Sus scrofa: one gene and its partners. The main gene of each other region encodes a partner of the protein of the gene in region 4 in a complex. Links are inferred from orthologs where the notes say so. Each region holds a gene or a part of one and is shown on either strand. Other genes may lie near its edges. The genes, in order: STK26, STK24, STK25, STRIP1, STRN3, STRN4 and STRN.

Region 1 (4,007 bases), on a different chromosome or scaffold from region 4:
TAAAGATTCAGTGAAGTAACACCTATATAGCACTTAGCGGTCCCTGGCACAAAGAAAATGGCACCCACTCACAATAACTATAGTGATAACGATAATACGCTATCTTTGGAGAAAGATTCAAAAGGAACAAGAGAAATACGTATTGCCTCCCAGAGCCCCAACACTGTGTTGGGCACAAAATTTCATCCTCATTTTAAACTGACACTTAGATATTACATATGACAACCCCTTGTGGGTTCCCAAAGGTGCCTTCATAATGAGGTTACTTAATTGCTATTATTATTATTGTTGTTGTTGCTCGGGTATTCGCAAAAGAGCTTGTCTCCCTGCTGGACTGGCACGTCAAGTGGGATGGAGGCAGGGGGCTGCCAAAAGCACTGAGTTCAATAATACTACGTACTGCTAAGGACCCAAACTCGTTTCACATGCCTCTATTACCCTCATTCATTTCTCTGCCCATGTACCACCTGTTTTCCAATTTCCCTCTCTCTTACACGTGCAGAACTGACCTTGTGCCCAGGCCTGGTCGCCCTCTCCCACAGCCTCGCACCCCTGTCCAACCGAGAGCCCAAAAGGTAGGGGAAGCCTCACTTCTAAGTCACCTGAAGCTTGTCTGGGGGCGGGGAACCCGGAAAGCCGGAGGGTGGCTACCGACCCGCCCAGAGGCGCGGCCCCAAACTGGGGAGCCCAGACCTCGGGTTAAGAGCTGGGGTCCAGCGACTCGGCGGCTCTCTGCACCCCCCGGCCTCGAGCAGATCGGAGAGTCCGGAAGGACTTCCAACACTCGCCAAGTTTCAACTCAGGACTTCTCCGAGGCGGCGTGCGCCCCAGCCCTCGCACGCCCGCCTGCAACGTGGCCGCGTCCGGGACGCCCTCGTACCCCAAGGGTCACCCGAACTCTTCCTTTCTCTCTCCAGGCCGACCAATGTTCCAGGCCCCTCCGTGCCCGGCTTCTCCTCTCCGCCGGCCGGGAGAGTCTCCCTCGGCTCAGGCTCCAGCAACCCCAGCCGAGCCCCTTCCCAGCGCGGAGCCCTAGCTCTCCTGACACCGCCCGGCAGCGGGGCGGGGGCAGGGCCAGCGGCGGAACCGCCCCCAACCGCCTCCCGGGCCCGGCCAGCGAGCGGGTGGCTGGGGCGCCTCCACCTCCTCTTCCTAAAGCGGCGAGGCGCAGACGAGCGGCATCACTCGAGCCCAGGTCCCGGCCACCGCCACACACGGCGCCCGGCGTTCAGGAAGAGGAGCGGCAGCGGAGGCGGCGGCCACAGCGGCGGGCGGGCACCAGAAAGGTAGACTGAGTCCCGGGGAGCCGCGCCGCGGACCGCCCACCTCCCAGCCCCGGGCCGCGCGCGCTACCCGCCCCGTAACCCCACTTGTGTGTGTCCTTCCAGGCCCGGGTCGAAAAGCCTGGGAGGGCCGCCGACCTACCCCCGGAGGAGGAGCCAGTCGGAGCCCAAGGCGCCACCGCCGCCGAAGCCGCGCGGAGCAGCTTTCGCCTTCATGGCCCACTCACCGGTGGCGGTCCAAGTGCCGGGGATGCAGGTGAGGACGCCCGGGCCTCCCCCGCCGTCCACGTGACTGCCCGGGAGCCCAGGGTGCACTCCACGCTGGGCACCGGCGAGGACAGGCGGCCCAGGGCTGCCTCGAAGCCGGGCCGGTCGCTCCGGCCAGGTGACGGGGAAAGAGGGTCTAAGTGTTTCCCGGCGCGCAAGCTAGGTGGTGCACTGCGCGGGGCAGGCGCGCGCGGAGGGACCGGGGCGCGCGGCGAGGTGGGGATGCGGCGGGGGGCTATAAAAATAGGCCGGAGCCGGACACCTGCGCTGGCTGAGCGTGATGCGCTTGGGGGTCGGAGGTGGGAGGACTTCACGTGGGAGAGATGGAGGCGTCTCGGAATTTGGGCATAAAACGCAGGTCGTGCTGCCCCCCCCCCCCGGACATACACACACACACAAACACACGAGTTGGGGCGGAGCAAGACCAGGGGTGTCGGTGGTGGCGGCTTTGAATTAGGCTCTTCCTGTGTGCGTAGGGCGAAGAGAGGTGACTTCTTTTCCCCTTTTGGTGCTGCTGCTTAAGTTGTATCTCGCTCCCCCCACCTGGCCCAGCCCCTCGTGTGGCGTGAGAAATGCAGGGTCCTCTGTTAGCAGAGCGGAGGTGATGACTCCCCCGCTCCCTCCCTCTGCGGTTCCCACAGCACGACTGTTACAGTGTGGTTAAAGGAAACTTTTTGTCCTAGACAGGGCAGGGGACCCAACTTTTCACTCGAGAGCTACCCAGCCTCCCCTTATATTTTCACTTTATTAAAGAAGTCAGCGATGTCCGTACGCTTTTCACGCTATTTTATCTTTTTAAATCGGTGCATTTCAAGCTCTCTGCTAAATGTAATCCAAGCTTACTTTTACGCATTCGAATTTTCTTTTTTTTCATAAACAACCCGTTTATGAATCGGTCGGAGACTAGCATCGACAGCCTCATTATCTTCTAAAAATGTGAGGACAACCTTTTTCCAAGTTCAGAAAAGAATGTTTGGTAAATAGCTTATGGTTCTAGTAGAAATCAAAGTGCTGTGGATTGGGGCCTCAAATTACCAATTGATGCAAGGAATGTATCTTTTTAAAAAAAAAAAAAACAATTGGTCGCATTTTATGCATGGTCCAAAAAGTGCTTTTTAAAATACTTTCTCTCCCCCCCCCAAAGGACCATTTGTGTCGGACATAGATCTAGCCTGGGACTCCTGTGTGTCTAGGCACCAGGCCTTTTAGCTGAATATAGGGCACGTCTGGGTTGAGTCCCAGGAAGTCGGTGTGTATTTAATAAAAACAAAAAATAAATAAGAGAGAGAGAGAGGAAGAAGAAGGGAAATGAGAACTATTGGGGCCTTTGAAAAGGTTAATCCATTCAAGTTTTACCAAACGCCTCAAACTTCCTTCTTCTCAGGCCACCCCCCCTTCCCTCCCTCTCCCCCCCCACCCCCAGCCCCTCACCCCATTCATTCAGTCTGCCTTTGATTGTACCCAGAGAATTAGTAGTTTGCAGGACTAACTACAGTTTTGCTCTGTCTCATGTGGGAGAAAGTTCGAACGTTTTCCCACCATGCTCTCCTTTCCATTCTGTGAACTTTACGGATGTCAGGTTTGTCCCTGAGGGTCCCCGTGCCTGCTCAGGCCATTGTGTGCACGCGCTGCCTGCGTCAGCAGAGCGAGGGCCTCCCTTTGATCAAGTTTGTGATCCTGGGGAACTCTGGTGTGCGGGGGAGAAAACGGTTTCTGGTCTTTATTTCATTTGTCTTGACTTTATTTGATTTCTATGGTTTCTGGTCCTTATTTGATTTGTCCTCATTTGATTTATATGGTTTAGGAACTGCTTGCTGCTCAGTATTTCTTTCGGCTCCCTGCTTTGTTTCATTATCTTGAGGTCCCTATCAGCTGAATTTTGCACCCTTAATTAAGGTGGTTTAGAATGTGAATCACATATTTTTAAATTACGAATTCTGCCTGTCACTTGATGCCTTGCCCCACGTTGTGACTCCTGTGTCCACCCTGATTTGGGGAGGGCAGGCATCTGGATATTAGCAGGAAAAGAGAGGAATATTTATTTGTCACTTTCCCTGTCTTAATGAAATGGTAAATTCGTAACATCTGATTTCCATTTTCTTTGTAGATGTGGTTCTTAAGCATTGGGTGCAACCCAAAAAGTTTTCCACAGTTAAAATTGTGGAGTACCCTAAAAATAAATTTGATGGCATGCAGTGTGACTCTTGAGCCTTGATCACGTTGACTATTCTTTTGTTGAAAAAGATTGCAGATGAGATGCAGAAATATATGATGAGCTTGTAAAATTCTCCTGGAGTTTTGTTAGCAAGTTAGGAGCAACTTTCAGACCGTTCCAGTAGTAAGAAAACTGAACGTAGCCATGTGTGCTTGAAATTAATGTATAGTATTTCCACAGATCAGGGCGAAGTGGTCGACCGGCCTATAACTTTTTAACAGTTTATTTTAGAGACTTATGAA
Region 2 (3,500 bases), on a different chromosome or scaffold from region 4:
AGCTGCTGTGTCTGACCCAAGCCAGTGAATCACTAGCTTTTGCCGTGAGCCAGAGTTCAAGGTAATGGACTTGAGGGTGAACAAGCAACATGATGCGTTTCCTCAAGCTGCCCACCCGAGCTGCACCCTGCCCCGTTTGAGACGCGTCTTGCCATCGACCTAAAAGGAAGGCCGCACCGTTACCCGCCACACGGGAGCGCTGTGGTCCGGACCACAGCGGGGGAAGGTGCAGAGGAGGCACCGTTACCCGCCACACGGGAGCGCATGTGGTCCTGACCACAGCTGGGGAAGGTGCAGAGGAGGCTCTGCTGCTCAGAGGCCGCCTTGGGCGGACACCCGGAGAGGCCCCAGCGGGGCTGGGGAGGCCTCGGGGACCGTTCCTGAGCAAGGGATGAGTGTCGCTGAAAACCCAGCATCTGAGTGCTGCGCTGCAGCGGCGGTGGCGGATCAGCTAAGTGACCAGAATGGAGGAGCGGCCTCAGTGCGGCTGCCATCAGATGAGGGACGACTCCTGGGGTCCCGTCACAGCCCAGCCAAAATCCAGATGCCGGAACTCAGACACATGGGCCTCAGCTTAAAACAGAGTGGACCAAACACATGAGCCCCTGTCACACCCTAAAATGACACAACCCCAGGGAAGGAGGGGCCCGTGGCTGCCACAATTGGAAGTAGCTACGGGGAGAGCCACCCCACGGGGCAAGGCAGGCCCAGGCCAGACACGCTGCTGTCCCCACACCTCAACATGAGGGGGCCAGGCCACCAGCGCCATCAGCTCACACGCCGACCTCGGGTGCCCAGGAAAACCTACCTGTGCTCCGCATGCTACATTTAACAAGGTGGGAACCTGCCAGGTAAGGAGATTTCCTCTTCGAGAGCAGAAATGATGCTCGGCTGTCAGCACACCGAGTCAGAGGTTTGCTTACAAGCCCTGGTTTGGAGAAGCCTGTTCTCTGGGGCCGTGGGGATCCTCCCGCCGTCCCGCGCCGAGAGCGGCCTGCGGGAGGCGGGTTCGCGGGCTTTTCAAGTTTATACCAAAAAGCTTAAGAACGCTGACAGGCAACGGAGGCAAGAACACAGGAGAAATGGGAGCGTACAACACGACAGGAGGAAGAGGCTGGGAAAAGAATCACGATTTGGCCTCAAGTCGGCACAGAGCCTCTGAGAATGACGATCCCAACTGGGCGCTACACTGGCCGACAGGAAGGGTCTGCCTGGTGTTCTGTGGACGCCGCCTCTCCCGAGGGACCCTGCCTGTGCCTGGCCAGGGTCCTGCTGAGGCCCTCTGCCCCATCCCCTCCTCCTGGCCTCCCCGCGCCCCCACATGCCTCTGCTGGACACCCCCACCGGCCGGGCCACCCCGTCCCCCGGCCTCCACCCGCTGCTCCTCCGTGTCCCTCCTTCAGACACTGGAACGGGGGGCTGGTTGCATAAAGGGGTGCCGGAGACGGCAGCAGACAGAAGAACCCTGTTTCTAACCGTAGCCCACGAACTGCCCTCGTGACCTACGACAAGGCCCTGGCTTCCCCCACCAGGACAAGCCCTGAAGTTCAAGTCCAGAGGACCACTCCCAGACCCAGCCAGCTGAGGCTCCTGACCGCACATTTCTTCTTCTTTTTTTTAACAGCCACACACACACCCGTGGCCCATGGGAGTTCCCGGGTTAGGGGTCGAATCAGAGCTGCAACTGCCGGCCTGTGCCACAGCCATAGCAACACGGGATCCGAGCCGCATCTGCGATCTACACCACAGCTTGCAGCAATGCCGGATGCTTAACCCACCGAGTTGAGGCCAGGAAGCAAACCTGCATTCTTACAGACACTATGTCAGGTTCTTAACCCACTGAGCCACAAGGGAACTCTCGTCCTCACCTTTGAGTCGTAGGCTGACTGCTTGATGACTTCGGGCGCCATCCAGAAAGGGGTGCCCACGAAGGTGTTTCTCTTTATCTGGGTGTCGGTCAGCTGGCCTGCCACGCCAAAGTCGGCCAGCTTCACCTCCCCGTGTTCAGACAGCAGGACATTGGCAGCTGCAAAAATAAAGCCAAAGACGCCCCCTGACATCATGTGCCGGAAGTTCCATCTCCAGCACGGGGGGAGCGTGTGCACAGCGACACCACTGCTGGACAAGAACTGCTTTCAGTTAGACCCCCGCGGGGCGCCCCCTCCCCTCGCAATCGCAGACCGCCCTCAGGACGACAACCCTTGAGAGAGCAGCGCAGGTAAGACGACCATTCCCACCCACCTTCGCCTTCGGCATTTCAAAGGGACACAAACAAGCTGTGTTCTTTTACCTTTAATGTCTCTGTGGATTTTCTTCTCTGAATGCAAATAATCAAGTCCTTTCAGTATTTCTCTTAATATGGTAGCAATCTGAGTTTCATCTAAAGGGCCAGGTTCTAACTGACAAGAAAAAAAAGGATTCAGGTTACTTAAATGATTAGAAGAAAAGTCTGAGAGAATAGAACAAAGTCAATGTTAAATGGACAACAATAATCAAAATCTGAAAGCTCTTGCACTCCAAAACATTTTGCCCAAACAATTAAAATCTATTTAAAAGACCCTAAAAAAAATCCCCAGAGAACCAGAGAAAATGACTTTGATGAAAGAAGCAAAGCCGACTGAGCGTCCAAGCCGGGCTGGTGAGACAGGCCGTGGTCAGCCCGATGTGTCTGTGAGCAGAGCTGGGGCGGGGTGGGGGGGGGGGCCGCTAGCCCGGAGAGCAGAAGCAGGGCCCCTTGCAGCATCTGCTGGGGAGGGCACAGGGCAGCCGGGCTCCGCCCTAGCGTGGTAACTAACGGGTGGTTAAATGGAGAAAGTCCAAGAGCTGTTTTCTGAGGCTACCCGGCACCAGAAATTTTTAAATCTGAATTTTCTTTCTTTTTTTTTTGGTGCTTTTTAAGGCTGCACCCACAGCATATGGAGGTTCCCAGGCTAGGGGTCTAATCAGAGCTATTGCCACCAGCCTACGCCAGAGCCACAGCAACTTGGGATCCAAGCCAGGTCTGCGACCTAACACCACAGCTCACGGCAATGCCGGATCCCTTAACCCACTGAGCAAGGCCAGGGATCGAACCCACAACGTCATGGTTCCTAGTTGGATTCCTTTTGGGTGATGGAAAGTTCTAGACCTAGATGGGAGCGATGAATGCACACCGTGAATACACTAAAGGTCATGCAGGGTAAGTTTTGTGTGTATTTTACCACAGTTTCTTAAAATGAGAATTTCATGGGTTTTTTTGTTTGTTTGTTTTGTTTTGTTTTTTTTTTGAAAGTGCCCCGAATGGTCCAGGGAAGAGTTTCGATTCAGGAGGAAGAGCTTCTGAGACGCGTTAGCTTCTGGCTCTCTCATCCTAGAACACAGGTGTTAGTTTTCGAGAACCAGATTTTTTTTTTAATATACTGATTTTTTTTTTTCCATTATAGTTGGTTTGCAGTGTTTTGTCAATTTCCTACTGTACAGCAAGGTGACCCAGTTACACATACATGTACACATTCTATTTT
Region 3 (4,082 bases), on a different chromosome or scaffold from region 4:
AACCCACACCACAGCTGTAACCAGAACCACAGCAGTGATGACACCGGCTCCTTAACGCCCGAGGAGGGAACTGTCCTTTCATTCTCTTAACAATGCCTTTCTGAAATCGAAATTTAAAACATTCGATGAAATCAAATTTATCATTGCTTTACAGCTGCATCCTTGTAAATGTTTTGGTAAAATGTAAATCACACAGAGCACACACGGAGACTATTTTAAGTGTACAGGTCACTGACGTCAAGCACGTTCACAGCGTTGTGGGGCCATCGCAGAGCTTGGTCTCCACTCCCGATGGAAACCCTGTACCCTGTGGTGTATCCCTTCTCTCTTCCTCCAGCCCCAGGAAATCTCAAGCACCTCTGCCTCCTGAACTGATCCAGTCTTGAGAGGTCATCGAAGCCGCATCACACGGTATTTGTCTCTTTGCGACTGGCTTATTTCCCTTGGCATAACGTTTTCATCCACGTTGTGGCATATAACAAAAAACAATGCCTTTTTAATTTTACGTATTTTGAATTGTGATAGCTTACACCTTAAAGCATTCAGTTGGGCAGTGCTGTACAATTATCTCCAGAATTCTTTTCACCTTCCCAAACTGAAGCTCTGTCCCCATTAAACACTCACTTCCCAGCGCCCGCCCCTGCCCCTGGCACCCGCCTGTCGCCTTTCTGTCTTCAGGACTCCAGGCACCTCACACAGGTGGGTCCAAGCACTGCTTGTCCTTTTGGGACTAGCTTATTTCGTTTAGCCACCGTCTTGGCGGTTGGTCCCTGCAATGGCCCGAGTCAGCACTGCCCTCCTACCCCCGGGCACGTCTGGACCGCATCTGGGGACCCATTCGTTCCTCCCCGACACGCGGGCGGCTGCAAGAGGCCTGAAAGATAGAATTGGAGTCTTGAGCCCAGGCCCTCGGAAGGGGAGCCGGAGGACGGAAGGCGGGGCGGGGGGGGGGGGCGACCGCAGAGCTGAAAGGTGGGGGCGCCCCAACCCCACGGCCGCCGGGCGGGCCCCGCCTGGCCCCGCCCCAGCCCCACAGGCCCCGCCCAGCACCGCGGCCTGGCGGGAGACGTAGGCCCAAGCTTCTCAGGAAGCCGGACTCGGAGTCCCAGCGGGCACCGCGGCACGCTTGCGGGCCGCTACACCACTCCGCCCCATGGCCTGCCGGGACTTGTAGTCCAGGGTCTGCGTGCGCCCCGACCCAGGGCGAACGAGGGACTCGGTGTCCCAGAGAGCTCCGCGCCGGGCCACGACACCGTGCCGCCCGGGCCGTCGCTGACGCCGCCGCCGGGCTTTCTCCGGCCGCCGCCGCCACTGCCGCTGCTTCGCGGGCTGGAGGGCCCAGGCGTCCCTGGGCGAGCGGAGGCTGCGGGTGGGAGCCTTCGTGGGCACTGCGGAGCGGGCCGGGGGAGGCCGGGATGGAGCCCCCGGAGGTGGGCGCGCTGCCGGGCTGGCCCGCGCCTGGGGCGGTTGGGGAGGGGGCTGGGCGGTGCGGGGAGTGAGGCAGGGGGAGGGCCCCGAGGGGGCCGGCGAGGAGGGCACTGGAGGCGGAGCTCGGCGGTAGGGGGACCCGGGGGGGGGCGCCGGGGGGGGGCGAGGGCACCGGGGGCGGGGTTGGGGCGGGGGTCCCGGCGGGGGTCCTGGCCGGGGTAAGGGGTCTAAAGAAGGAGCAAGGCTGCGGGTGGAAGTGTGAGGGCCGCCGAGGGATGCCCCGTGTTGGGGAGCTCCTCAGGGAGGCGTCGGGCCGTAGCGGGGCGATGAGGAGAGCGCGGCGGTGGGGGCCTTTAGCGGAGGGGCCCTGTGACTCCAGCCCGCCCCCGGGGCGGGCCGGCCCGCCGGTCCCCAGGGCGGCAGGGAGCCCCGCGTGCCTCGAACCGAGCAGGCCTGCTCTCCCTCCAGTTGCCTGAAGCGAGTGGGCCGGGCTCCGGAGCCTCCAGGCAGGATCTCGGGGCCTCCCGAGGTTGCAGCGGATGGTGGAGGGCGGCGCAGACATGGCTCACCTCAGGGGCTTTGCCAACCAGGTAAGGGTTGGCATCCGGGGAGAGGGGTGTGTGTGTTTACCGGAGCACCGACTGCAGAGGCTAAGCAAGGGCGCTTCCTCCAGGACTGTCATCCTGAGGTTTCAGAGGAGCGGTCCCTCCGAGGGCGAGCGTGGGGTGAAGGGAGGCGCGGGGGAGTCCTGCGGAGCGCGTCGTGGGCGAAGCGGGGAGCAGTCTCGAGGCGCTCAGACTTGGTGAGCGCAGGGGCGACTCAGCTTGGCCAGCTTGCCCAGTTGTGTGGGGCAGAAGCCCACAAGCTTGGCAAAATAGAGCCCCAGTGCAGGGGCAGCAGAGGCTGTGCAGAGCCCTGTGGTGGGAACAGGGCAGGGGCCGCTGGCTCTGGTGGGAATCCTGCCGAGCATGAATCTGCACCTGGAGAGACCTGCAAGGTCAGGGTCCACGCTGGGGCCGCAGCCTGGGCGGGGACACAGGCCGTGTTGTGCTGGGCAGGGGCTGTGCTGACGCAGCTCTCGAGTCTGTGCGCGGGGAGAGCAGAGCACAGGAGAGGATGAGAGGGCTGCTCCCGGGCCACAGGTGCTCCTTGGGAAGACACCCACTGCCTTTCTCTTTGGGGGACTGGGTCTTGGGATTGCCAACAGCAAAAGCCATCTGGGGGTGTCTGGCCTTGAGCGGTAACTGGCTGATTCCGGGGGACCCTCCAAAGCGCACCCTGGGTTGTGTGGCACATGGTTTGTACTTTCCTCTTGTCTGTTATTGGGAAGCAGGTGTGATCTGCAGCTGGTAGGACGTGGAGTGTGCCGCTCTGGCTCTGGTAGCCAGGTTTTCCTGTGGCCACTGCTTGGCTTTGTTTTCCTCGGCCGCCTGCTGAAAGGTGTAAGGCAGCGTCCTCGGGTGTAAGGCTGAGTCCCCAGGCTGAGTCCGCGAGGCCTGGGCGCCAGGGGAGCAGGAAGTGTGTATCCACGGGGCGGGGGAGGGGCTGGGGTCAGGATCGGCTCCACACCCAACAGGCTTCCTCGCAGAAACCTGCCACGTGCTGCCGCCGGGCAGGGCATCCTGGACTAGCCGTGCCACAGGTGGGCACTGGCACTTCTGCTGATGCTGAAGCCCGCTGGCAGGTCTTTCATTCATCTTTGACATCTCGTGTCTTGTAAATTACATGACGGAGAAGCTGGGAGAAAAACCTGGCTTCAGCTATTTTTAAGAGCTGTAGAAATGGGTCCCGCGGGTCCTGGAATAGGAAGTTGGAGCTGAGCCACCCTGTCCCTGTGTGCTGGTGGCACTAGGGGCTTGGCTTGGGTGTCCAGACCAGATGCCCAGGGAAGGGAGCACAGCCCAGAGGAGCTGAGGAAGGGACCCTGAAGGAAGGAAGCCCCTTTTGTCCTCTGGGGCGGAGAGACTTGGCCTTTGTCAGTGGCAGGAAGCCTGACAGGACATTGTTTTCTCTTGCGAGGGTTGTCACTGTGGCCCTGCGAGGCGGTCCCTGTGTGGGGCAGTGCGGTGAGCTCCCCCACGGCCCGCAGGGGGCCCTCCACTCCTGGCCTCTGCCCGGCTGGTTCCTTGTTCCTACCCTGCCCGCAGGGTCTGGCTGGCTGCAGGAAGCTCATTGGCTGCCACCCATCGTGGGGTGGTTGGGGGCCGTTGGGCACCCCTCATTTTGTGGGGCGATATGACCAGCAGACATACTGCCTGGTAGTGGCCACTGACCTCGCATGCCCAGGGCTGACCAGAGGACAAGGGTCTGGACTGCCAGCAGCCTGAGCCCTTGTCTGAACCACGCCCGTCTCTGGAAGGGGAGTGCAAGGCCAGCTCGGGAGCAGTTGTCCTTCCTTCCTTCCACCAGCTCTGGCCGCAGGTGTCCCTGTGATGTGCCTGTAGGGTCAGGGTCACAGCCAGGAGCGCTCCCGTCATGCTGTCTGCTCAGGAGACTGACCCACAGCAGTGGGGACCCAAAAAGTGTGACGTTGGGACCAGAGCTCCCCCCACTGCTGAGTCTGGAGCCCCTGGTCCAGGGGTCTGCCCAGTTCCCTCAGGAGCCGTGGAGGTCTGGGCACCCAGCTGGGTGTGCCTCTCGTCAAGCCGTTGGGG
Region 4 (3,500 bases):
TTACTGGTGTTTTATTAAAGATTATAGTACCTGACAGTTGGAATTTTAAGGGGTCTAGTAAATAGCCTCCCTTTCCTGGCCCAGGTTCCAAGGCAATTGGGTTCAAGGAGTAGGCGGATGGGGATTGAAACACCAGCTCTGTTGCCAATAGAGTGAGTGGAGAATGAGGCCTAAGAGCACAACCCCAGTGGGTGTCCGATACCTCCCTTCCAGAATTAGGCCAGTTCACCTGTCCAGGGCCCGCAGCGCTGGCACCCTGCTAAGCCTGGTCAAGGAGCAGAAGAGGGCACAGGCTTTTCTTTTCTTAAGAAAGAAGAGAAAGAGGTTGTGCTGAGACTGTCTTGTTCCTCCTCCCATACCCACTGGGCAGCGAGGGGAGGAGTGAGTGTGTGCATGTGTGGTGGGGGTGCAGACAGGGAGACCTGAGGGTTTTGTACGTGCGGGTCCCTCCAGGAATGCAGAAGCATCACAGGTGGGAAAGAGCTGTCTCCTCTGACAGCATGTCTGGGGTGCGAATGCTGATAGGCTTTTGCAGTGTACTTTTGACATTTGTAGTGTAAGTGCGCCGCAGGCAGCTAGGCTTTTTGAGGACTTGAGTACTTGATCCTTGAGTACATGGGTGCTTGATTCTGCTTGTAAGTTTTCCCCCTTAATTTCATGATAGCTATCTGAAAGCCCCCTTCTCTCCTTGAATTTGCGTTTTTCCCGAATCTATTGTGTGCTTTTTTGCACTGGTGTTAAGAGGTAGGTGCCCACTTGGAAAAATATATTTTTGTTTGTTGGCTTGTTTTTTGTCTTTTTGCCTTTTCTAGGGCCGCTTCCTGTGGCATATGGAGGTTCCCAGGCTAGGGGTCGAATTGGAGCTGTAGCCACTGGCCTATGCCAGAGACAAAGCAACTCGGGATCCGAGCCACATCTGCAACCTACACCACAGCTCACGGCAATGCCGGATCCTTAACCCATTGAGCAAGGCCGGGAATCAAACCCGCAACCTCATCATTTCTAGTCGGATTCGTTAACCACTGAGCCACAATGGGAACTCCTGGAAAAATATTTTGGATTGGGGATCCTAGTTTGTGATCTGTGTGGTGACTTAACAGTCTTTGAGAAGACGGTGTTTGAAGAAAGTTGCGTGGGGTCTTTGCCAGGGGTGGGTGTTTGGCCAGAGAATGGGGGGTGTTTCCCCAGTGCCTCCTCCCCTCTCTCCCTCCAGCACAAGTACACGTCGATTGCAGAGGTCCAGGCACAGATGGAGGAGGAGTACCTTCGCTCTCCTCTCTCAGGGGTGAGTTGGGGGCCCTCCTCAGCCCACAGGGTTCAGCCGTTCCCAGCACTGTGCTGGGCCAAGACCGCAGAGCACCAGGCCTGCCCTCAGAAAGCTCCCTGTCCAGCTCCCGCTGCAGGGGTGCCGTGTGTCAGGCACAGGGCTTAGCGCACGGACTCCAGGCCAGCCCCCTCCTTCTGAATCCCGGCTCCATGGGTGGCGACCTAGCGAGGTACTAGATCTCTCTCTGCTTTCTTGTCCTGCCTGTTAAAATGGAATGACAGTAGCACCTTTTTCATAGAATTGTCATGATGAAATGTCCTCTTACAAGTCAGGTGCCTGGCACGTTGTCTTAAAGGTTCACCATCATTAGCAGCAGCATCATTTACTCCCATCATCCACATGTACAGTCTCCTCCAGCCAGCTAGCACACTGGCCCGGGAGAGCATCCTCAGAACCAGGCTCTGGGTTTGTCCCCACTGTACCCCTTGTGTTGGAAGGGAGAAGAGGAGGTGGAGCAAGTTCCCGCGGAAACTCTCTACCAAGGCTTGCTCCCCAGCCTGCCGCAGTACATGGTGAGTGCTCCTCCTCCGTAGGCACCTGCCACGGGCCACCCTCCCCACTGCACTGGCCCTGAGAGCAGGCGGCCATGCCCTTGGCCCCTCCTTCAGCCACCCGAGTGCCTCGGGAAGGACCACCTCTCCGGGCCTAGTCCTGCCCCTGGGCCCTCCCACCCATGCTGTCTGAATGGTCTGCTTCTCCCCAGATTGCGCTGCTAAAGATCCTGCTGGCTGCAGCTCCCACCTCAAAGGCCAAGACAGACTCCATCAACATCCTAGCAGATGTCCTGCCTGAGGAGATGCCGTGAGTGTCAAGCCTTGAGTATCTGGGGGATGGAGCAGGTCAGGGGCAGAAGGGCAGAGGGGAAGGGGAAACGGCTTCCTTTCAGTCCCACTGTTTGCTAGGTTGTCTGTCGTTAGTGTTTGGGTTCAACTTCTCTGCAGGTTGGGTTTAGGATATTCCTGGCTCAGAAGAAAGAAAATGTTCTAGGTGAAATATTTAATTATACTGCTTGGGAAAATGGCTTAATCCAGTTGGCCTGGATTCTAGTGTAGACTCTGCCCCTGAGCGAACACTGAGTGAATTGGGCAAAGTCACTTCCTCCTCTGTAAAATGAATTGGGCTGTGTTTGACATTTCCCCAAATGTTTCTCAAAAGTATGTGATTGTGGGACATCCAGGATGTATAGTTTTAGCACATGGAAGTTCCCAGGCCAGGGATGGAACCCAAGCCATAGCAGGGACCCAGGCCACTGCAGTAACACTAGGTCTAACTTGCTGAACCACAAGGGAAGCCCTGGCATGCAGAATATTTTTGAATGTCTCAGGGTGATAGTGACATCCTTAGGAGTTCTTCCTCCCTGGGGCATTGCCCCCATCTTTTTCACACGAGAGTACAAACCGGGATCACGTTCTGCTTTGAGAAGGACCTGGGCCTTGACCTGATCCACCTGCCTGCCAGTACCGCCTAGCTCTGAGCCCAGCTCCCTGCTGGCTGGGCCCCTTGGGTCTGGTGGTGATAGCCAGATAATGGGGGGGGGGGGAGCAGGCATCGGCCAACCCCAGAGGGACTACATAGACCACCAGGCCATCAGGATGGGCCTTAGGAAAAGGATTCCAGAGCCAGATGCTATACCTCCTCTTAGAAAGATTTCCAGTGGCAACTCCTAAATTAAGAAGCTGATTTAGCTCAATGCTTCCACAACTTTTCTGATTCCAAAGCCCATTTTCCCATGATATGAAACATCTCAGTACACTGGCAATTCACAGAACACGCTCCAAGGAACACAAGTTCCTATGGTGGCAGAAGCTTAGGGAAGGTTTTGAAGTGAGAAGTTCATTTTTGGAGGAAAAGCAGAGAAATATACTACGAATGTATGGGAGCCGTCATAGAAGGAAGAAAATTGTGCTGAGCTAGATTGGGTAGTGGGTGGGAGGAACAGGGCCCGACCTCTCAGATGTCCGCAGTGGGGGAGCAGTGAGGTGGGTGCCTGGCCCAGAGAAGGCTTGGGAATCCTGTCTCTCCTGGGAGCACCCGGAGAGGAGAGGCAGTGCTGCGCTTGGGGGCTCACCCACAACTGTGCTTCCAGTACCACAGTGTTGCAGAGCATGAAGCTGGGGGTGGATGTGAACCGCCACAAAGAGGTCATTGTTAAGGCCATTTCTGCCGTCCTACT
Region 5 (3,500 bases), on a different chromosome or scaffold from region 4:
ATTATAATTGTTTTAGAAAATTCAGACTACTTGACATGTTGCATCCAGAAGTGGAGTGCTTAAGCCTTTCCAAGAAGTTAGGGATTACTATGAAATAGAGTTAGTAAATGTGTAAGGTCCCACCTATTTCCGTATAGTCCAACAATCTTGCTACTTGGTATTCTGTTAGGGATGCACAGATGAGTGATAGTCTCTATAGAATTTCTAATATTCTAATAGCCATAGTGAAGTTTAGTCATTACATAGTCTAGTCCATTAATATAGACATTAGTAAATATGGTCATAATGTGTGGCCTTGGATTTGCCTGTTTTAATTGTTTTTACTTTACATAGACTTCAAAGCATTTTCTTTTGTCTTTTCACCTTAAAACTGTTTTCTTTCGAAACACACAAGAGAAATGATTCTCCTGTCACTTCTGAAGTTCATAGTTGAAACAAGATCCTGTCACTTCTGAAATTCATAGTTAAAACAAGAGATCCCACAGTACTGTGGATGCTACAGAGTTGGCCATATTTTGGCCTAAATTAATCTAGGTAACAGCAGAAATTCTCCCAGTAATTATGGCCTGTGACAGTGTTGACTTTTCATACTATAGTGAGAAAATGAGCAAGCTCATAGGTAAATCAGTTTTTAAATTTGTAAAAAATGAAAAAAGCATGTTGAGGGGAATTGAGTGATTTGTTCATGACAGAGTTGTATGAATGTGGCAGGAAAACATCCACATAAACACCAGGGAAAGTTAATTGTTTGTTGCACCCTCATAAAAATCATTTGTGCTTGTTTGTTAACTTTTTAAAAATAATTAAGTTGGGAAAACTCATTTTAGTCTTTACACTGTTAAATGTTAAACACCAAAGTTTTTTGTTTGAATGGTACCATCTGTATCTTTGAGCTTACAGAACTTTGAGTGACAGATGACTCTATTATATATATCTCCACAAAAATAGTCAATATCTTAAATATTTAAATCTTTTCAATATTTTTTTGGGGGGTGGTGTGGAAAATTGAAGACATCTTTGATTTTCTGAGATTTTTACAACTGAAACTTCTTAAAAATGGCCTCTTTTGTTAGTAGATTGGTTTTAAAGGCTGCTAGCAAGTCAAGCGGTAGCCGTTAAATGAATCTCTACTGCTGACATTAATTTACAGGGGTCAACAGGACAAAACTCTACGACATGATAGCTGATCTGGGAGATGATGAGCTGCCCCACATCCCTTCAGGAATCATAAATCAGTCTAGGTCAGCCTCTACTAGAATGACTGATCATGAAGGTGCAAGAGCAGAGGAAGGTACAGAATTTAGCTACTGTGTTTATTTACATTGTAGAAGACATTAATTCCAAATCACATCTCCTTAAATATTGTATTTGCTGCTGTTTTAAAATGCTGAAAATCAGCTTTTATGATCTTCAGAGAAGGTGTTGGGCAAGCTCTTGGTGTAATTGTCTTAGGGATTTTGAAATTTTTGGCTTATATGTCTTTATAATTTTCTTGTTTTGATATTAGGTGGACTTATTTCTATTACAGGTCATTTCAGAGTACCTTTCTGAACTGGGACTTTAGTTTACATATGTAGTAGCAGGAAAATAGTTTAAGAAGACTTGGGTACATATGGAAAAGAACTATTTAGTCATTTTGTCATATTGCTAAATTTTAACAACTAATAATAACTGTCACTTATAAGGAGACAGCTAAGTACCAGACATTGTGCTTAGAACTTTATATATTATTTCTGAAAATACATGTAACAATTGCCTAATCTAATATTTTAGAATAAGGCAACATATAATTCTTAAACTTGGTACTAGTATATACTACTCGTTAGTGAATTTTCTAAAATTTGCTTAAACTAGAAATGTGCAGAAAATGAAAGTACTACTTAGGCATTTTTTCCAAAATTGATTTTAGCTGAAGATATGTAGATATACTTGAATAGTATATAATTCTAGGTCTAGATAATTAAAATTCTAAGTAATGAGACTGAATTGTTACCAAAAGTTTATTTTGATATATGATACAAATGTAAAAGATAATTCATTAATAATTTGGCATATAATTTGCATTTCATTGATATTACTGCTTTTGCTTTGGGTAATTTGATGTCCTGTCAGAACTCTTTGAATACACCTTATATGCTCTTCTAAGAGTTCTCTACCTGCATATTTTTCCTTAAAGTTAAATAATTTTGCTTTTTTTTTTCTTTGTAGTAATCTCTGCATGCCCTTGCCACTTACTATAATCCTCTAGGTTTGAGGAAGGATAAAGAAAATCGCTAAAATAATAAAACCAAAACAAAACATATTAAAGCATGAAAAGCAACAGGAAAAGTAAAATAGTCTGTTGGTTTTTCCTAGACCTCTTTTCCACTGTTAAGCTATTTTCCTATTTTACTTAAGGAAGTATTTTCTAAAATGAATATACCAACCTGATTATTTTTCATTTCATGCATTTAGTAATGGCTAAGCTTTTTAAAGCTTTTGCTCTACTTTACCAAATAATACATAGAAAAAAGTTGCTAAAATTTTTTATAGTTAACACTGTACATTTAAACTGCAGATTTTGCAGCCCAATTCAAAGCCATATTATCAGGGATTACAGATAAGTTTAAATGCTTCAAAGCAGGGACTTCTGGAAACAGCCAGACAAGACTTGTGGTACATTTAGAACCTGTATGTATGTTTATGTGTAATTGTGCTTTTTAAACAAAAAAAATTAAGTCAGTGATCTATTAATAGTGGAGGAGGAAGGAAAGCATATGCACTATCACACTTTTCAAAGGCTAAATCTTAAATAATTTGTTACTAAAAAAAGATTAATTTCAACTTTGATTAGTGCTAAGAAGAGAACATTAGCATTCATAATCTCTTATTTTTAGTGGTCACCTCCAACTTTTATGCATTCCTGTTGAAGGCCTTGTCATAGTGCATTTTATAAAGAAAAAAACTTATGTTCTCAAGGAGAGAAACTTAGGCATTACAACCTTTCAGACTGTTTTTAGTAAAGATTTAAGATATACAGTGTTGCCACTAACATGAGTAGAATCCGTTTTTAAGCTGTGTTCTTTCTTTAGATTTGATAAAATTGAAGGAGAAAGGAAGAATTTGATATATGAGCTACAGGTTTCCTTGGTCACTAGTGTCCATAAAACGGAGGATTAGTTAAAGAAAAATATGAAAAGGATGTTGTAAATTTCAGTCTGGACTCTGGAAATCTAAGATTTCCATAAAGGGGAATCTGATATGATAATAGTAATCTTAAATTGCTCGATGAAATCTTTTATGCTGTCTAATAAAAGGTATGTAATTTTCATCATTAAAAGCTGCTTCTTGAAATAATTTTTTTTAATTTATTTATTAGGGCTGCACCCACAGCATATGGAGGTACCCAAGCTAGGGGTCCAATCAAAGGTGTAGCTGCCGGCCTATGCCACAGCCATAGTAACGCAGGATCCCAGCAGCCTCATCTTCCACCTACACCACAGCTTGCAGCAATACCACAT
Region 6 (3,500 bases), on a different chromosome or scaffold from region 4:
AGGACAATGTTTGCACATATCTCAACTTTGAACTCTGCCCTCCTGTCTGCCCTGGAGTCAGGTTCGGCAAATACCTCCTTTGCTAAAACTTGTCATCCCGTTGGAGCCTTTGAACAGTGTCCCAGAGGTGGAGAGGGGAGCGGGCTGGAAGGGCTGGGGGTTCGTGGAGTGACCACTTCCCCTTTCTTCCTGCTGGCTGTGTCCCTGCCCCTCGCCTGCCCTGGGCTCACGGTTTGACTGGGCTGTGGGAATCGGGGCCACTTTCCCATCCAGCTCTCCTCACTCAGCACGTGTGGGGCCCTGTGGGCGGGCTGGGGGCTAGTTCCCTAGAACTCGGGGCTCGGAGCTCAATGAGGAGCTGGGCCCGGTCTGTGGTCCCAGCGAGGGTTCAGAGGCTGGGCTTGAGGCCCAGGGCACGACCCGAGTCCCGGCGCTCTCCCACCTGAACAGCTTTGTCACTGGGCAGGACTAACACTTCCTCTGCCCCCCATCCTGGGCAGGAACGCAGCCGGCAAAGATGGCAAAGAGCGCCTGGGTGGCTCAGTGCTGGAGCAGATCCCCTTCCTGCAGAACTGCGAGGATGAGGACAGTGACGAGGACGACGAGCTGGACAGCGTGCAGCACAAGAAGCAGCGGGTGAAGGTGAGCTCGTGAGCCCAGTGGGCCCTCCCTCCCCCTTTCTGCAAGAGGACCCCTGCTTCGAGCCCCAGAGCAGAGCACCTCTGTGGGCGCCCTCAGGCTGCCTCTGTGGTTTCATCATATCCCTGCCTGGAGCAGAGTCCCCTGTGCTGTGGCCTCCGTGACCTTTGGGGCCGCCTGGGTCTTTTCTCTTGGAGCTGGCCCCTTCTTCCGCTGCACCCCCTTCTCGCCCTCCAGGCTGGGCCAGCCCCCGCCACGCCCTCTCACAGTGCTCCCCACTTTGGGCCAGCCCTACCGCAGCCGTGCTTAGACATTTTGGGTGTGACTCTGGCTCTGTCTCCCGCAGTGGGTGCTGAGCTCCACGAGGCAGGGACTGTGCGACCCTCTGCTCTTCTCCCCAGCTCCCTGAGGGAACGTGGCCGGGCCCAGGGCTCAGCCTGGAGGCGGGCGGGGGGGGGGGGTCCTGTCCAGGACTTCGTCGTCCAGTCTGCTGTCGCTGTCAAGACCCAGGTCTGGGGATACTGCCCACAGGGTAGAGTTGGGTGCTCCTCAGCATGGCCTTGAGATATGGCTGCCTCCACCCTTCAGCCCCACTCCTGGGCTCGGAAAGCCACCCAGCTCCCACCATTCTGATGGCGCCGTTCTTGGGCAGGGTCTGGCCTCGTCTGTCCAGTGACCAGCAGCTTCATGGCCGAGCTCTGTGCCGGCGGCACGAATATGGAGACTTGGTCTGGTCCTGAGGTGGAGGGGCTTGTGGCCAGTGGCCCACACAGGCAGGCGCCCCCGTCTCATGCCAGCTCTGTCTCCCTCCTCCCTCATCGGTCTGTCCTTCCCAGCCTTTGCTCTGTGTCCAGTGTCCCCAGTGTGGCTCAGCACAGGGTCCCATGCAGATTAGGCGCTCAGTGAACACACTGAGGGGACAGGACTGTGTGGAGCCAGACTCTGGAACTGGGGGTTATAGGAAAAGCGGGGGTCTCTCAACTCCCTGGTCCAGCACCCTGCCCCCCCCCAACCCCCTGTTGGGATTTCACCCGCTTGTCGGGTCTCACCGCAACCTCCGCTGCGCAGTCTTTCCTCCTCTCGGCTCCTCCCGTTGAAAATGACTGCGTTCTCCCTCAGGCCTTTGCCTCAGTCACGGCGTCTTGTCCCACGGGCCCTGTCGGGGGTCTCCTGCTTCCCCAGGGCCTCATGACCTGCCTGTGGCTCCCAGAGTGCCCGCCGGCCTGGCTATGTACCTTTGGGCACACGATTCTCTTTGTCTCAGTTTCCGTCTCAGGGGCTCATAGTCCCTGGGCTGTCAAGGAATTAACTAAAATGAGTGCATGCATAGAAAGCCCTTGGCTGCACGGAAGCTGCCACACCAGGGCTCAGCAGTGGGGTGCCACCGACAGCTCCTGTGGTGTGGGCAGGCCCTTCAGAGCGCCCGGTGTGGTTCCACCCGCATGTAGAGCTCCAACCCCCACCGTTGCTTCCCTGGGCGTGCTGTCTGGACCTTGACCCCAGGTCTTCTCCCAGAAAGGCAGAGGAAGGCAGTCCTGTGCGGGGCTGGCCCTTCAGGATGCCCGAGCGGGCTGCCTCCATGTTCATACCCTCTAGACCCAGCTCGGGGTGAGGGTCAGCCCACCCTAGAGGAACCCACCATCTGATGGAGGCTGGGCCCAGGCAGGGAACACCAGGAGGGAGAAGGCTTCCTGGAGGAGCCGGCCCGGAGGCCTCAGAATCCTGGTGCCGAGGTGCTCTATGTCTTAAGCCAGCACTTAGAGCAGAACTCAGATATCAAAACTGTCTTTGAAAATTCTGGAACTCCCTTAAGGCATGTAAGTGCACAAGTGCAGTCTTCGAAGTGCCAAGTGTGCAGCTCCGGATGGCGCTTTGTGCAGTGGAGTGATGCTGAAGCCACCCGAGGGTGGAGAATCACACGCAGAGCATCATTTCACGAGGCCGTGTACCCGAGGTGTCTGTGTGGGGAGCGCAGGAGCCGTGCTGCTCCTAAATTCATAAGTCTGGGTGGGGGGCCAGGCTCGTGAAGTGAGGAAAACAGGATGATTTAGCTCTTACCCCTGGTTAAGACCGACTGTGTGAAACGGGCAAACCCACCAGCATTCTGGTTCTCAGAATGGAGGAACGAGGAGTTCCCGTCGTGGCGCAGTGGTTAACAAATCTGACTAGAAACCATGAGGTTGCGGGTTCGGTCCCTGGCCTTGCTCATTGGGTTAAGGATCTGGCGTTGCCGTGAGCTGTGGTGTAGGTCACAGATGCGGCACGGATCCCGAGTTGCTGTGGCTGTGGTGTAGGCCGGCGGCTATAGCTCTGATTCGACCCTAGCCTGGGAATGTCCATATGGCACGGGTGCGGCCCTGAAAAGACAAAAAAAAAAAGAGGAACGAAGGTGTTTTCTCTAGTTCTAAAAGTAGCTCCTGCGTGTTTTATATATATATATATGTGTATAAAATTTAGCCCATTTAGAAAGTTATAAGGAAGATGCGAAGAACCTCAGGTAATCACACACCCAAGAGCCGTCTTAAAAGAAATGGCTTGGACCTTGCGACCTGGGGCAAGGGCTGCACTCTGTTCAGCCTCCGTTTCCTCATCTGTAATATGGGACCAGTGATTACCATAATGGGAGTTCCCGATGTGGCTCAGGGTAACAAATCTGACTAGTACCCATGAGGATGCCGGTTCAGTCCCTGGCCTCACTCGGTAGATTAAGGATCCTGTGTTGCTCTGGCTGTGGTGTAGGCCGGCAGCTGTATCTCTGATTCTCCTCCTAGCCTGGGAACCTCCATATGCCATGGGTGTGGCCTCAAAAAGACGAAAGAAATTATAATAATGATAACTATTCATGGGGTTGTGAAATCACG
Region 7 (3,500 bases), on a different chromosome or scaffold from region 4:
CAGTCACAGCAATGTGGGATTTGAGCTGCGTCTGTGACCGACACCACAACTCACAGCAACACCGGATACTTAACCCACTGAGGGAGGCCAGAGATCAAACCCCCATCCTCATGGATACTATTCGGGTTTGTCACTGCTGTGCCACAACGGGAACTCCCAATTATGTGTTTTTAACACAGCATCTAGAATGCATTAAATATTTAATATAAAATATCATAAAACAGAATTTCCCAGTTTCTCATATTTCCACTGGAATAAAAACCCTATAAAGACCACAGTTTCCATCATGGGCTGATGGAAAGTGTGAACTTCTTTTATGTTTTTAAAGTCGAGGCATGCTCTAGTATGGAAATTCTTAAGTCCAGACTTACCGAAAGAAGACTCTCTTTTTATTTTACGTATTTTTGAAGGATTTGGCTTCTCCCGAGTGTTTTAAATTTAAGCTTTACAGGGCCTGGGAGGTTTTCATTTAAAGAATGTCTTAAAAAATAATGCTTGGTGTTTTCATTTAATAACTAGTGAAGGAAATTCATTTGGATTGGGGTTATTTCTTATCTACTCTTTTACCAGACTGGCTTTTTTTTTTTTTTAAAGCCATCATTCCTAGGTATTTTGTTCTAATTCTGATGTAGTGCTTCATAGTACATTTATTTGACTCTTGTGTGACTCAGTTAGTCCTGGAGGAAAATTCTCAGATTACTAAAAATAGGAAAAAAGTCTTTATTTTAGAGCAGTAATGAATTTATGTTAGAGTTTTGTTACAGAAATTAAACTTAAAAACATGTTTACATTGTCCTAAAATGTACCTTACAGTACAGTGTTTTTAATCTTATAATTTTTTTGTTGTTGGCTTGCCTGTGGCATGTGGGAATTCCTGGGTTTGGGATGGAACCTGAACCATAGCAGTGAAAATACCAAATCCTTAGCCACTACACCAACAGGGAACTCTTAATCTTATAGATTTTTATTGGACCTTTTTTTTTTAAATGAATTTAGATGTCCTCTAGTGTGTTTAACACCAGTTTTATTATTTAATGTTTTCCAGATGAAGGTAATGAAACAGAGGTGCAACCACAACAAAACAGTCAGTTAATGTGGAAGCAAGGTCGACAGCTACTCAGACAGTAAGTATGTCCTGAAAGTATCTGCTGTGAAAAAGCTTCATTAAATTATGTTCTTTTTTCATAAGCACTTTTTCCACTATAGTAGAATTTATTATTAAATTTTAATAAGAGTTAAGAAATTCACTTTCCATAATTTTAACTTTATCAAAAAGAACACAACTTAAAGGTTCTAAATTATATTTTTTGCTTAAATTTATATTTTAAAGAATTTTTTGTCCTTAAAGTTACTCTTTGTACCTTTTATACATAAATATACAGGTTTTAATATAAGTCTAAACATGTAATTTTTGTGTTATGTTTTTAAACTTTTAAGTAGATGGAAGAACTTCTGGATTTCCCAGATTTACAAATACTGTGCTAACGTATACTCCCTCCTATAAAACGTGAATTTGAGGGTATAAAGTAGGAGCAAGGCTAGGCTGAGGTACGGATATTGGGAAGTGGGCTAGACCCACTTATCTGCTTAATGCTTGACCCTTGCGTAGCACATTTGAAAATGTTATTTTGATTTGTACCTCAGTAAAATGAAATTTGCTGTCTGGTTTGGACTTTTGGGTTGTTTGTGGATAGTCTAAGCTTATGATTTCCAAAGTGGATGGTATGCCAGCCATACCTTTTGATAATGGGAAAAGAATATTAAAATAACTTCTTACATCTGTTTTTTTATCTAATCAAAGCTAGAAGAAAATGAGACTTCATTACTATTTAACTAGTAGGTTTTAATTTTGGTCTTAAATATGATTGTGCATTTTCCTTTTATAAATAAGTGTCTTTAAAGTGCTGATCTTTTTTTTTTTTTAATGTCAAGTAGTTATCATAGTGAGCAATCTAAGAAGTATTTTTAAAAGATTGGTAACCTGCTTCTCAAAGGTGACATTTTATTAATGAATGAGGAAGTATTATTTAGTAAGACCTTAGGAAAGAACAGTTTTTGAAACAGTAATCTGTAATGTGATTTTGTTACCAAAGTGAGTTGTGTATCAAATATTATTTGTTAAAAAATAGAAAAGCGTAATAACTTTGAAAGAACCAACTAATTAAATTCAGGAACATTAGAAAATTTATTACCCAAATTTTAATCAAAGCCTTTATAGATATTGAATAGGATTGAAAAATGAGTACCTTCATTTGGTAGGATACACTTACTCCATTTTGGTCACATGTCTTTGGGAGGTATCTCTTTGAGCTATAACAACTGTTAATACCAGATCTTAGAATAAACTGACCCTTAGACTGGTTATTTTTTTGATCTTTGTTTTCCTTTTCATCTCATAGATGTGATGCTTACTTATAAGTTAATGCCTGACATTTATCTATCATGTTTATTAATGACATTATTAGTGACATTTGTCTTTTTCATATTCTCGCCACTACCCCTTTTGGTCTTTTTTGGACATCTTTATTGTTAATTAATACCGAGTGCCTTCTATGTGCCAGGCACTGTACTAGGTTTGTCTCTTTTATGAGAAAGAATTAAAGTTACATAGGAGGAAAGTGGAAAAAAATGGGCTTTAAACCTTGGTCTGACTCTCTATATTCTCTGTCTTCTGTGCTGCTGCCTTTCTGCAGCACACACACCCCTGTGCACCCACTCAGCCCACATCCCACTATTGAATTGTGGTCTATTTTTATTTTAGAATTGTCTCAGGATAGAAGCTGCCCTTCTGTAGAAGTGACTCTTTGGAATATGTTTTGTATGTTATGGAGGAAACTATGTGTGTTAGAAATTCTCAGATCTCAGTTGATCCAGTGATACTTTAACATCGGAAGTATAAAAGGACTACTGGTTATAGTAATTACTATTATGAAATAGTAATTCAGAATCTGAGAGTGAGTTTACTCCAGCTCTGCCCAGAAGAAAGAATGTGTTATTAGGTATATTAAGGAATAGCTTCTTCTTATGATAAATGAATGGTGTATTGATTGTATAGTTCTTTGATTTTTCTCAGTGACCGTAGAGGCTGGTACTGCAAGAGACAGCTCTGTCTGCAGCTGGAAGATTATTTATTAGCAAGTCTTACTAGCATAGTACTGTTCTGTTTAGTCTTATGCAGGCAATGAATTTTTTAAATTAAGATATTCAGTAGTAGAATACTGATTCCAATAAGACTGAATTTTAAAGATCCTCTTCACACACAGGTACCTGCAGGAGGTGGGTTACACAGATACCATTCTAGATGTGAAATCCAAACGAGTGCGAGCTTTGTTGGGCTTTTCCAGTGATGTCACTGACAGGGAAGATGACAAAAATCAAGACTCAGTTATAAATGGCACGGAGGCTGAAGTTAAAGAGACAGCAATGATTGGGTAAGTATTTTGTCTAGAAAGTGGTTTAGCTGTAGTTTTGGTTCTTATAAATATTTTTGGCTTATGAGT

Evidence for each region.
Region 1: STRIP1 (region 4) and STK26 share a complex: the UniProt entries of both Homo sapiens proteins name them as parts of the core of STRIPAK complex. The link is inferred for Sus scrofa from reciprocal best matches to the Homo sapiens genes STRIP1 and STK26.
Region 2: STRIP1 (region 4) and STK24 share a complex: the UniProt entries of both Homo sapiens proteins name them as parts of the core of STRIPAK complex. The link is inferred for Sus scrofa from reciprocal best matches to the Homo sapiens genes STRIP1 and STK24.
Region 3: STRIP1 (region 4) and STK25 share a complex: the UniProt entries of both Homo sapiens proteins name them as parts of the core of STRIPAK complex. The link is inferred for Sus scrofa from reciprocal best matches to the Homo sapiens genes STRIP1 and STK25.
Region 5: the proteins of STRIP1 (region 4) and STRN3 are in contact, whole or in part, in a cryo-EM structure (PDB 7K36), measured with the Homo sapiens proteins. The link is inferred for Sus scrofa from reciprocal best matches to the Homo sapiens genes STRIP1 and STRN3. Residues at the interface, in NP_149079.2 of Homo sapiens: Arg441, Ile445, Tyr447, Leu449, Thr455, Val456, Val457, Gly458, Leu459, Arg491, Ser492, Pro493, Leu494, Ser495, Phe792, Leu793, Pro794, Val795, Asn797, Cys798, Leu799, Val802; in NP_001077362.1 of Homo sapiens: Thr64, Pro66, Gly67, Leu69, His70, Tyr71, Gln73, His74, Val88, Glu89, Ala91, Glu92, Ala95, Arg96, Phe99, Leu100, Glu103, Gly106, Gln107, Leu110, Asp113, Leu114.
Region 6: STRIP1 (region 4) and STRN4 share a complex: the UniProt entries of both Homo sapiens proteins name them as parts of the core of STRIPAK complex. The link is inferred for Sus scrofa from reciprocal best matches to the Homo sapiens genes STRIP1 and STRN4.
Region 7: STRIP1 (region 4) and STRN share a complex: the UniProt entries of both Homo sapiens proteins name them as parts of the core of STRIPAK complex. The link is inferred for Sus scrofa from reciprocal best matches to the Homo sapiens genes STRIP1 and STRN.

Annotation. Positions count from the first base shown.
Region 1 is NC_010461.5:108,178,023-108,182,029, forward strand, and holds the start of STK26 (serine/threonine-protein kinase 26), read left to right. Parts: upstream 1-1,207; 5' UTR 1,208-1,286; intron 1,287-1,388; 5' UTR 1,389-1,497; coding exon 1,498-1,539; intron 1,540-4,007. UniProt on the Homo sapiens protein: Serine/threonine-protein kinase that acts as a mediator of cell growth. Modulates apoptosis. In association with STK24 negatively regulates Golgi reorientation in polarized cell migration upon RHO activation.
Region 2 is NC_010453.5:67,475,143-67,478,642, forward strand, and holds part of STK24 (serine/threonine-protein kinase 24), read right to left. Parts: intron 2,400-3,500; coding exon 2,291-2,399; intron 2,027-2,290; coding exon 1,869-2,026; intron 1-1,868. UniProt on the Homo sapiens protein: Serine/threonine-protein kinase that acts on both serine and threonine residues and promotes apoptosis in response to stress stimuli and caspase activation.
Region 3 is NC_010457.5:140,151,511-140,155,592, reverse strand, and holds the start of STK25 (serine/threonine-protein kinase 25), read left to right. Parts: upstream 1-1,282; 5' UTR 1,283-1,369; exon of another isoform or gene 1,370-1,430; intron 1,431-1,896; 5' UTR 1,897-1,967; coding exon of another isoform or gene 1,968-2,018; 5' UTR 2,019-4,082. UniProt on the Homo sapiens protein: Oxidant stress-activated serine/threonine kinase that may play a role in the response to environmental stress.
Region 4 is NC_010446.5:110,067,518-110,071,017, reverse strand, and holds part of STRIP1 (striatin-interacting protein 1), read left to right. Parts: intron 1-1,213; coding exon 1,214-1,285; intron 1,286-1,764; coding exon 1,765-1,839; intron 1,840-2,030; coding exon 2,031-2,128; intron 2,129-3,413; coding exon 3,414-3,500. UniProt on the Homo sapiens protein: Plays a role in the regulation of cell morphology and cytoskeletal organization. Required in the cortical actin filament dynamics and cell shape. Part of the striatin-interacting phosphatase and kinase (STRIPAK) complexes.
Region 5 is NC_010449.5:68,550,897-68,554,396, forward strand, and holds part of STRN3 (striatin-3), read left to right. Parts: intron 1-1,150; coding exon 1,151-1,291; intron 1,292-3,500. UniProt on the Homo sapiens protein: Calmodulin-binding scaffolding protein which is the center of the striatin-interacting phosphatase and kinase (STRIPAK) complexes.
Region 6 is NC_010448.4:52,610,911-52,614,410, reverse strand, and holds part of STRN4 (striatin-4), read left to right. Parts: intron 1-500; coding exon 501-642; intron 643-3,500. UniProt on the Homo sapiens protein: Calmodulin-binding scaffolding protein which is the center of the striatin-interacting phosphatase and kinase (STRIPAK) complexes.
Region 7 is NC_010445.4:103,301,826-103,305,325, forward strand, and holds part of STRN (striatin), read left to right. Parts: intron 1-1,045; coding exon 1,046-1,124; intron 1,125-3,263; coding exon 3,264-3,431; intron 3,432-3,500. UniProt on the Homo sapiens protein: Calmodulin-binding scaffolding protein which is the center of the striatin-interacting phosphatase and kinase (STRIPAK) complexes.